Linked DNA regions of Kluyveromyces lactis. The protein of the gene in region 1 interacts with the protein of each later gene in a pairwise test. Links are inferred from orthologs where the notes say so. Each region holds a gene or a part of one and is shown in the gene's direction. Other genes may lie near its edges. The genes, in order: SGV1 and BUR2.

The links.
Region 2: the proteins of SGV1 (region 1) and BUR2 interact in binary tests that used the Saccharomyces cerevisiae proteins (3 or more experiments, as listed by UniProt). The link is inferred for Kluyveromyces lactis from reciprocal best matches to the Saccharomyces cerevisiae genes SGV1 and BUR2.

Annotation. Positions count from the first base shown.
Region 1 is NC_006040.1:891,299-895,433, forward strand, and holds SGV1 (cyclin-dependent serine/threonine protein kinase SGV1), read left to right. Parts: upstream 1-1,656; coding exon 1,657-3,594; downstream 3,595-4,135. Other genes in the region: ERG13 (hydroxymethylglutaryl-CoA synthase), read right to left, coding at 116-217. UniProt on the Saccharomyces cerevisiae protein: Serine/threonine-protein kinase component of the BUR kinase complex involved in transcription regulation.
Region 2 is NC_006042.1:1,211,293-1,214,726, reverse strand, and holds BUR2 (Bur2p), read left to right. Parts: upstream 1-1,517; coding exon 1,518-2,702; downstream 2,703-3,434. Other genes in the region: MFB1 (Mfb1p), read left to right, coding at 1-1,187; septin SPR28, read left to right, coding at 2,967-3,434. UniProt on the Saccharomyces cerevisiae protein: Component of the BUR kinase complex involved in transcription regulation.

The DNA of each region.
Region 1 (4,135 bases):
GCACAGCCGCTGTACTTCAGCAAAGTAGGAACAGAAGTCTCGAAAACGCTCAAATTCAACAAAATATGCAAGCCCGTGAGTTGCTATAACAGTAATTGACGTATTAAGAACATACTTGAGATGGGATGTAAATTTCGATACCCTTGATACCGACGTTTTGAGGTCTTGGTGGTTGATCCACAGTCTTTTGCTTCTTGGCTAGATCTTGTTCAGTCATTATTTCTGAAGGGTTAGCTGAATAACTATGGGAGTTGTGTGTTGATATAATCTACAGCGTAGTATGGTATAAACAACTTATATTAAAAGAACCGCTGGCAAGAGTTAACACTTTCTTTCATTACCTAAAACACGAAAGTTCATCATCAGTGTATCTTATTTTTTTTCATCTTTAAATATCACGTCGATATTTTTCTCGTTAAAAGAAAAAAAAGGCCATCTCAATGAAAATTTGTAACATCTGTCGTTTAAGAAAAAAAATGGTACAATTTTGTACAGCCAAGGAAAGAAACATATATTATGATACAAATAATTTTGCTGGATAATTCACCTCCACTGCGTAATTTGGTCCATTTTTCGCACGTATAATTAGAATTACAGAGCATACGAGATAGCGCTTCCTTTTTTTTTGTTGAGGGAGGTGCTTTTTGTGCTCTTTTTGTTATCTTAGCGATGAGAGTATCTTTATAAAACAAATGTGTAACGTTCAAGCTTCAGCTAAAAGAATAGTTCAGCCAGTGAACTAGGCTGTTCTTGGAGCTGGGTTGTGATATCCATCAAATATGTTTTAGTAAATAGGTACTTTGATAATTGCTTAGCTTTAGAAAGTGAAATATTGAAGTCAAACACCGTTATCTCCTTTGTTTCGAATGCTCTCCACTTTTCACCTTCAGGAGTAAGAACGAGACAAGTTTATCATCATCTTCCCATTAGAATAACCTATTTTTATTGGCGAACTCCTTAAGTAACAGCGTGTTCTAGACAATGTCACTAGATGTTCAGCAGATGGACGTTTAGGATGACTGTTTCATGATCGGCCTATTCGTTTGTAAGTGCTTTATTTTTCGTGCGTCATTTCAATACTATATATTCCAAAAAGGCGCAATTAAGCGCTATCCTAATTGACAACCAAGAAGATCACGAAATGTTTCTGCAGTGATATATACTTTCATTGAAGCTAGAAGTAGAATAAGACTCATTCTTAATGCCGATGTCTGATTTCATTTTTGAAATGAGTGTAAAACTATGGCTTACTGAAGTTCATAGGCTTGTTTAGAAGTTAAAGGCCCCAGAATACTTACCGTACCTTCAAAATGGCATCTACAAAAGAGCTGGTTATTAGTTATAAACTTAAAGCGGTTGTGACTCTTGAGTAGAAACGCCATATTGGTCACGTGATATTATTTTAATAATGACAATTTCAACCTGTATAACATGTTAAGCAAAATTTAAACTCAAATTAAAGAATAGTTATGAATGTCAAATTCGCTTTGTACAACAACGGTCCTTTTGCAATCAGTAATTATTGTGTGAACGGTCATTTATTGCATCACATGGCAGTTTAAAGTATCATAAAACCTAATTATTGGAGTTTTTGTTGTAAGAGTTACAAAAATCGTTGCTATCGCTCCTTTGCATTGAATAAAGAATACTATAGCCATGAGCACTGTGAATAAGAAGCCTGCGTCTTTGAAGTATAAGATAGGCAAAGTGAAACAGATACCCACTGTTGTTAAAGATGATAAGACTGGTTTGGAGTACATTCAGGTTCAAAGCAGAGAAAATGAAAAGGTGTACGGTGTTACTAAGTTTCTGAACAACTATCGTGAGGAAGAAAAATTAGGGCAAGGTACTTTCGGTGAAGTCTTTAAAGGGATTCATTTAGGCACAAATAGAAAGGTTGCTATTAAACGTATTTTAGTACGAGCAGAAAAGGATTTGTTTCCAATAACAGCTCAGAGGGAAATTACCATTTTGAAGCGCATGAATCATAAAAATATCGTAAAGTTGATTGAGATTGTCTACGACGAGTCACCAACTCCTAAGACAGATAGTACGTCTCCTCGACCTGTTGGGAACTATCATGGAAACAACACGGCAAATCAGCAGAAGCTCATAACAGGTAAACACTTTTTCATGATATTACCATACATGGTTTCCGATCTAACAGGGTTGTTACATAACCCCAGAGTGGAGTTCGGCATGGCTGATGTTAAAAACATCATGCTACAGCTGTTGGAAGGTATTAACTATATTCACTGCAATAAATTTTTGCATCGTGATATTAAGACAGCCAATATCCTTATAGATCATAAAGGTGTCGTAAAAATTGCAGATTTTGGTCTAGCAAGAAACTATTATGGTTCTCCGCCAAATCTTAAATATCCTGGTGGTGCTGGATCAGGTGCTAAATACACCTCGGTCGTTGTTACACGTTGGTACAGAGCTCCTGAAATTGTATTGGGTGATAGACATTACACTACGGCAGTTGATATTTGGGGGATTGGTTGTGTATTTGCTGAGTTCTTTGAGAAAAAACCAATCCTTCAGGGTCAAACAGATATTGATCAAGGACATGTCATCTTCAAACTCATGGGAACACCATCGATGGATGAATGGGGATTAGCTTACCATTTACCTGGATCCGAGTTGACAAAAACAAACTATAAAAGTACGTTGCAAGAAAGATTTTCGAAAGCGTTGAACGAGACAGGTTTGGATCTTCTCTCTAAATTACTAGCTCTAGATCCATACAAGCGTGTAACTGCCATGAAGGCTAAAAAACACCCTTTCTTCTTCGAAGAACCGTTGCCAAATGCACAGCTAACTTTGCCTAACGAAGAATGCCACGAATCCGATATTAAAAGATACAAAAGTGAGATGAACGAATCTATGTCTCAAAGACCGCCATCTGCCCCAACAGGACATACATCGACTGATAATTCCATAAGAGCTGTGACAGGTGCTGCATTTCCAAAAGAGGCTTCAATACCAAAGGCTCCTAGACCAGAACACATAAAATCAACCATTCCAGCGCAACCCTCCGCCTCACGGTACAATGGTGCAGCAACTCAGAACATCCCCAAAGAACCTATTCCGACTGCGCCTCTTCCAAAAGGTCCTAAAAACAGTATACCGACTGGACCAAATAAATTACCACCGAATCCTCGTGATTCATATGCATCGAAATATCCGGCTGAATCAAGGTTCGGTGTGAATACAAGAATTACTACCGAGTCGTATAATGCCGGGAAACGTTACCGTAATAGAGGAGGATGGGAAACTGGTAGAGACAGTCTAAATTATAATAACAATTATGCTCCACCTGCTGATCGTTCGCATCATCCTACTATACAACGTCCTTCTGCTCCTAGAGGAGGATCCTATCCTAACAGATATCAAAATCAGGACTACAATACCTCTAGAAATACAGGGTATAATCAATACAGCCAAGCTGGTGATCGGAGAAGTTACAGACCGGGAGCTTCTGAAAATCCAGGGACCATTGGCCATGGTAGCTCACAATCTACGCAAAAAGATTCCAAGTCATCGCATTCCAACAATGTCAAACCAAAAGACGTTGCAGACTACTATTGATTAAATTTAAATTGGGCTTGAAACTATGCTGGTACTTTTCTACTTTTTAAACCCAACTTGACATGTTTTTTCCCCAAAGTGGCCTGCTGCTTCGAGATTGTTAAATAGTATATAGATAGTTTACGAGGGAAAGTGCGTTTGTTTCTCTTCATGTATCCCAGAAATTCATCCATTAAAGTGCTAACCAGATTATGATATGTGGTCTGTGAATGATATCATTACGTATAAAAGGGAAATTATGGCTGATGAAGATTTTTTGCTGGTATAAATTCATTGTTGATGTATCCAGATTTGGAAACCAAATCAAAATTACGCACGTCAATAATCACCAAGCAGCAACTTAAATATACTGATAAACAATTTAAACATGGTCATTAAGTTATGCACTTTCCAGCAGAATTGAACCCTGGGGTAATTTCTTTGTTGGCGGTGCATCACAGAAATTCCTCGAACGTTTCAACTGATGCTCGATGTGTTTGCTATAAACAATTCCAACAAGCAAATAGGTACCGATTTGCACAAATAATTAAAAGAAGGCAAA
Region 2 (3,434 bases), on another chromosome or scaffold:
TGAGACTGTTAGAATCAAATGATGATTTAGGGATAAACGAAATAGACACTGCATCGGAAAGTGAAGACAATGACAATATGAACAACGATGAAAATGATAATGAAAGTAATGGATATGATAGCCAGAACCAGCGAGTAGGAAAAAAATACATTAATGACGGGAGAACTGATGGTGAAATGATGCCCGACAACTCAGATCTCTGGGAAACTGAAGATGAGTCGGATATTGACACAACTAATGACGTTAATGGATTGGACCAAATATACGCTGAAAATATATCAGTTTTTGAGGAGGATACTGGGAGTGATAGTTATAATGATGGTCAAATTCAACCGGTGCAAATATCTATGAATGACTTTGCTGATAGTGAAAGTACGCCTACTAAAAAGCCACGCACTAAGCCGACAAAGATCGATAAGGAAGGATTGAAATACTTGAGAGTTTTGGAAGGCTTTCATAGGATTGGTGTAATTTCTGGGAGAGAAACACCTGATAGGATAATTACACATAATACCTCTGCGACTCCAAATAAATATGGCAACTTACTCGATGATGTACAATTCACCCCACTCAGCACAATAAGCTCTTTACTAAAAAGAATTGACTCTGGATCAGATTCTAATCATGCCCATTCTCCCGATTCGTTTGGAATTTCGCATTCGCGGTCAGGAAGTTCCGTATTTTCAGATGGTGCCCCTAAGTTAGCAGATCAGCCTTGGTCAAAGATCTATGAATTGGATCATCAATCGCTTTCAAGTTCTGATTCTGATTCTTCTTCTTCTACTGAATTTATACGGCAGTTGCAATCGTCTAAAAAGGTGAAGGACAAGGCTGTACTGTTTGAACGGCTCCTGGCTAAGAGTAAAGAAAGAAGCGTTTCGTTGAAGGAGAAGAAATCCCATGCATCAAGTAATAATGGTAATTGCCGAAAGGTGTCAGATGATTACTTGGCAGAAACAAGAAGAAACGCATCTCCAGCACCTTCATCAGTTTCTTCGATAGATACTGAAATGAGATTAACAATGCAAGAGGTAAAGAACAATTCAAATGATCATTTTGACTCTCATGCCAAGACGAAGAGTTCATCCACTCACGGAATAAAACATTCTAAAATTCATCATAGAAAGAAACTCAAAGCTTTGGTCATGGACGGAAATCGGATTTGCTACGAAAAGATAACAGAATAACACGATGACTTGACGACTTGGGGAATATACTACGATACTGCCTCAAGCCCACACCTTCATTTTCTCACATTTTGTCTATGAGTGTTGATCACAACTGATCTCAACATATAATACAAATGTATATATATAGTTACCCTACATTCATGATAACTTCCTTTTTATTCAGTGAATTACATATGCATCGTTAAAATCCACTGGCTGGCATTGAATCAGGAAAGAGAGACGTACACACCACTACAAACGTCATTTCATCCCAACCAACCATCTCATATCTACTCCGAATTTTGAGTCAATTTGAACGAATTTCTCGTGAGCTTTAACAGATTAAAAATGGTCCTTTCAGCCAGCGAAGAGATAGCTAATTCCCAGCCCAGTGGTAATGGTAAGACGTCATTAGACATCAAGCAGAATGAAGGGAATCCTCAATTCAATCCAAGAAATCTTTGGCCTGATATAATCAAATGCCCGAAGAATGAATGGACATTCGAGTATACTGATATAATTAAAAGGTTAGGTACTGATGAGGAGAAAATTCAATTGACGAAGAAGAGAATGGAGAAGTGTCTCATGTACTTCCATAAATTGAGGAAGGAGATGAAACTTTTCGATCATACTTACACTGCAGCATGTATATTATTCTACCGTTATTGGTACAAGTATGATCTTCCGCCTACTATACCTCAATGCATCCATTTGGCGCAAGCTATTCTAGTTACGGCCTGCAAAACCATGGAAAATAACAGACCAACTGACCACTATATAAAAGCAACTTGTGATTTCATGATGAAAGATGGCCCGTCCCCAACTGGTCAGAAGTTGAACGTGGAGAAATTGAAATGGGAGGTCAGGGACCAACTTGTTTCATATGAAAAGAAAGTGTTATGTCAGTTAGGGTTCGACCTTGACATTGACAATCCGAAAGAACTTATAGAGGAAATATTCAGTGGATATTACAGACATGTTAGAGATACTGATATTGATGCATCACTTCGAGAGATTTTCCCCGTGATTTTACAAGAAGCAAGAAATTTCATCATCCAAACAGGAACACAGCCAATTTCATTGCTATGTGATGGATACACACTTGTGGCCTTAGCCCTAATATTCGCTGGTGTGACCTTTCAAAAAAACAAAGAACCGGGCTTCAGCTTCCCTCATAACTTCTTCAGGAGGCGTTTCCCAGTAATTATAACCAGTGAAATCATTGCTTCGTTGTTCTCGCATTATCAACAACTTGAAAAAGCCTTTTTCGATTTGAAGAGCAACAAAAATAGCGCTTTATCCATTACTGTTGACGAAATAGACAAAGTGATAGATGAAGATAGACAGTTAGATCCCGAACCATTCAACCCTTACGACTACGACATCATAAAGGAGGGAGAAGTCAATGAAGAACTTTTGAACTATACCGAAAGAAAGATCGAAGAGCTTTCGAATAGAATCATGTCTGAAAGAAGCATAAAAAGACCTTCAGAGCCACCCGCCGAACAAGCTACGAAGAAACCGAGATTTTGAAAATTAATATAAACTATGTAGTATCATCACGACTCCATTGACGGACAAACTCATTCATACCTTTTTTCCCTCGATTTTGTATGCACTATTTTATGACACAAAATCGTCGCTTCTTTTATTTCACTGTCGAAGAATGTTGTCAGATAAAAGATAAAAAAGGGTTCGAAGAAAGAACCACATCATTGCATCATACTATTTGCGCACGGAAAAGATACGAAGGTTCACGAACGGTGGCAAAGTGAACAGTGTTTCCCATCAGCTATAATGTTTGGCAAAAAGAAATCTAATTATCAGATGCTTAGTGCAGAAGAAATTCGTCGCAGGAAAAATGCCAAAAGAGGCATACAGTTCTGCATGTTGGTGATAGGAGAATCAGGTTTAGGCAAGTCCACTTTTTGCAATAATATCTGCAACCAAGAGGTTTTTGGACACGAAGAAGAGGGTTTTGATCCTGCCACCGCACATTTGAGCCCAGGCATTGATATTGTGTCCAAGAATTTCCATTTACAAGAGGAAAATTCTACACCAATAAGCCTCGACATTGTTCTAATTCCAGGTTTGGGGGATAATATCAACAATTCTAATAACCATGAAGTCGTTGTTGATTATTTGGAATCCCAGTTCGATCGCGTGTTGAATGAGGAAATAAGAATCAAGAGAAACCCAAAAAATGTTGACACTAGACCACATGTTTGCCTATTCTTCATTAGAGCAACGTCAAAAGGCCTTCGT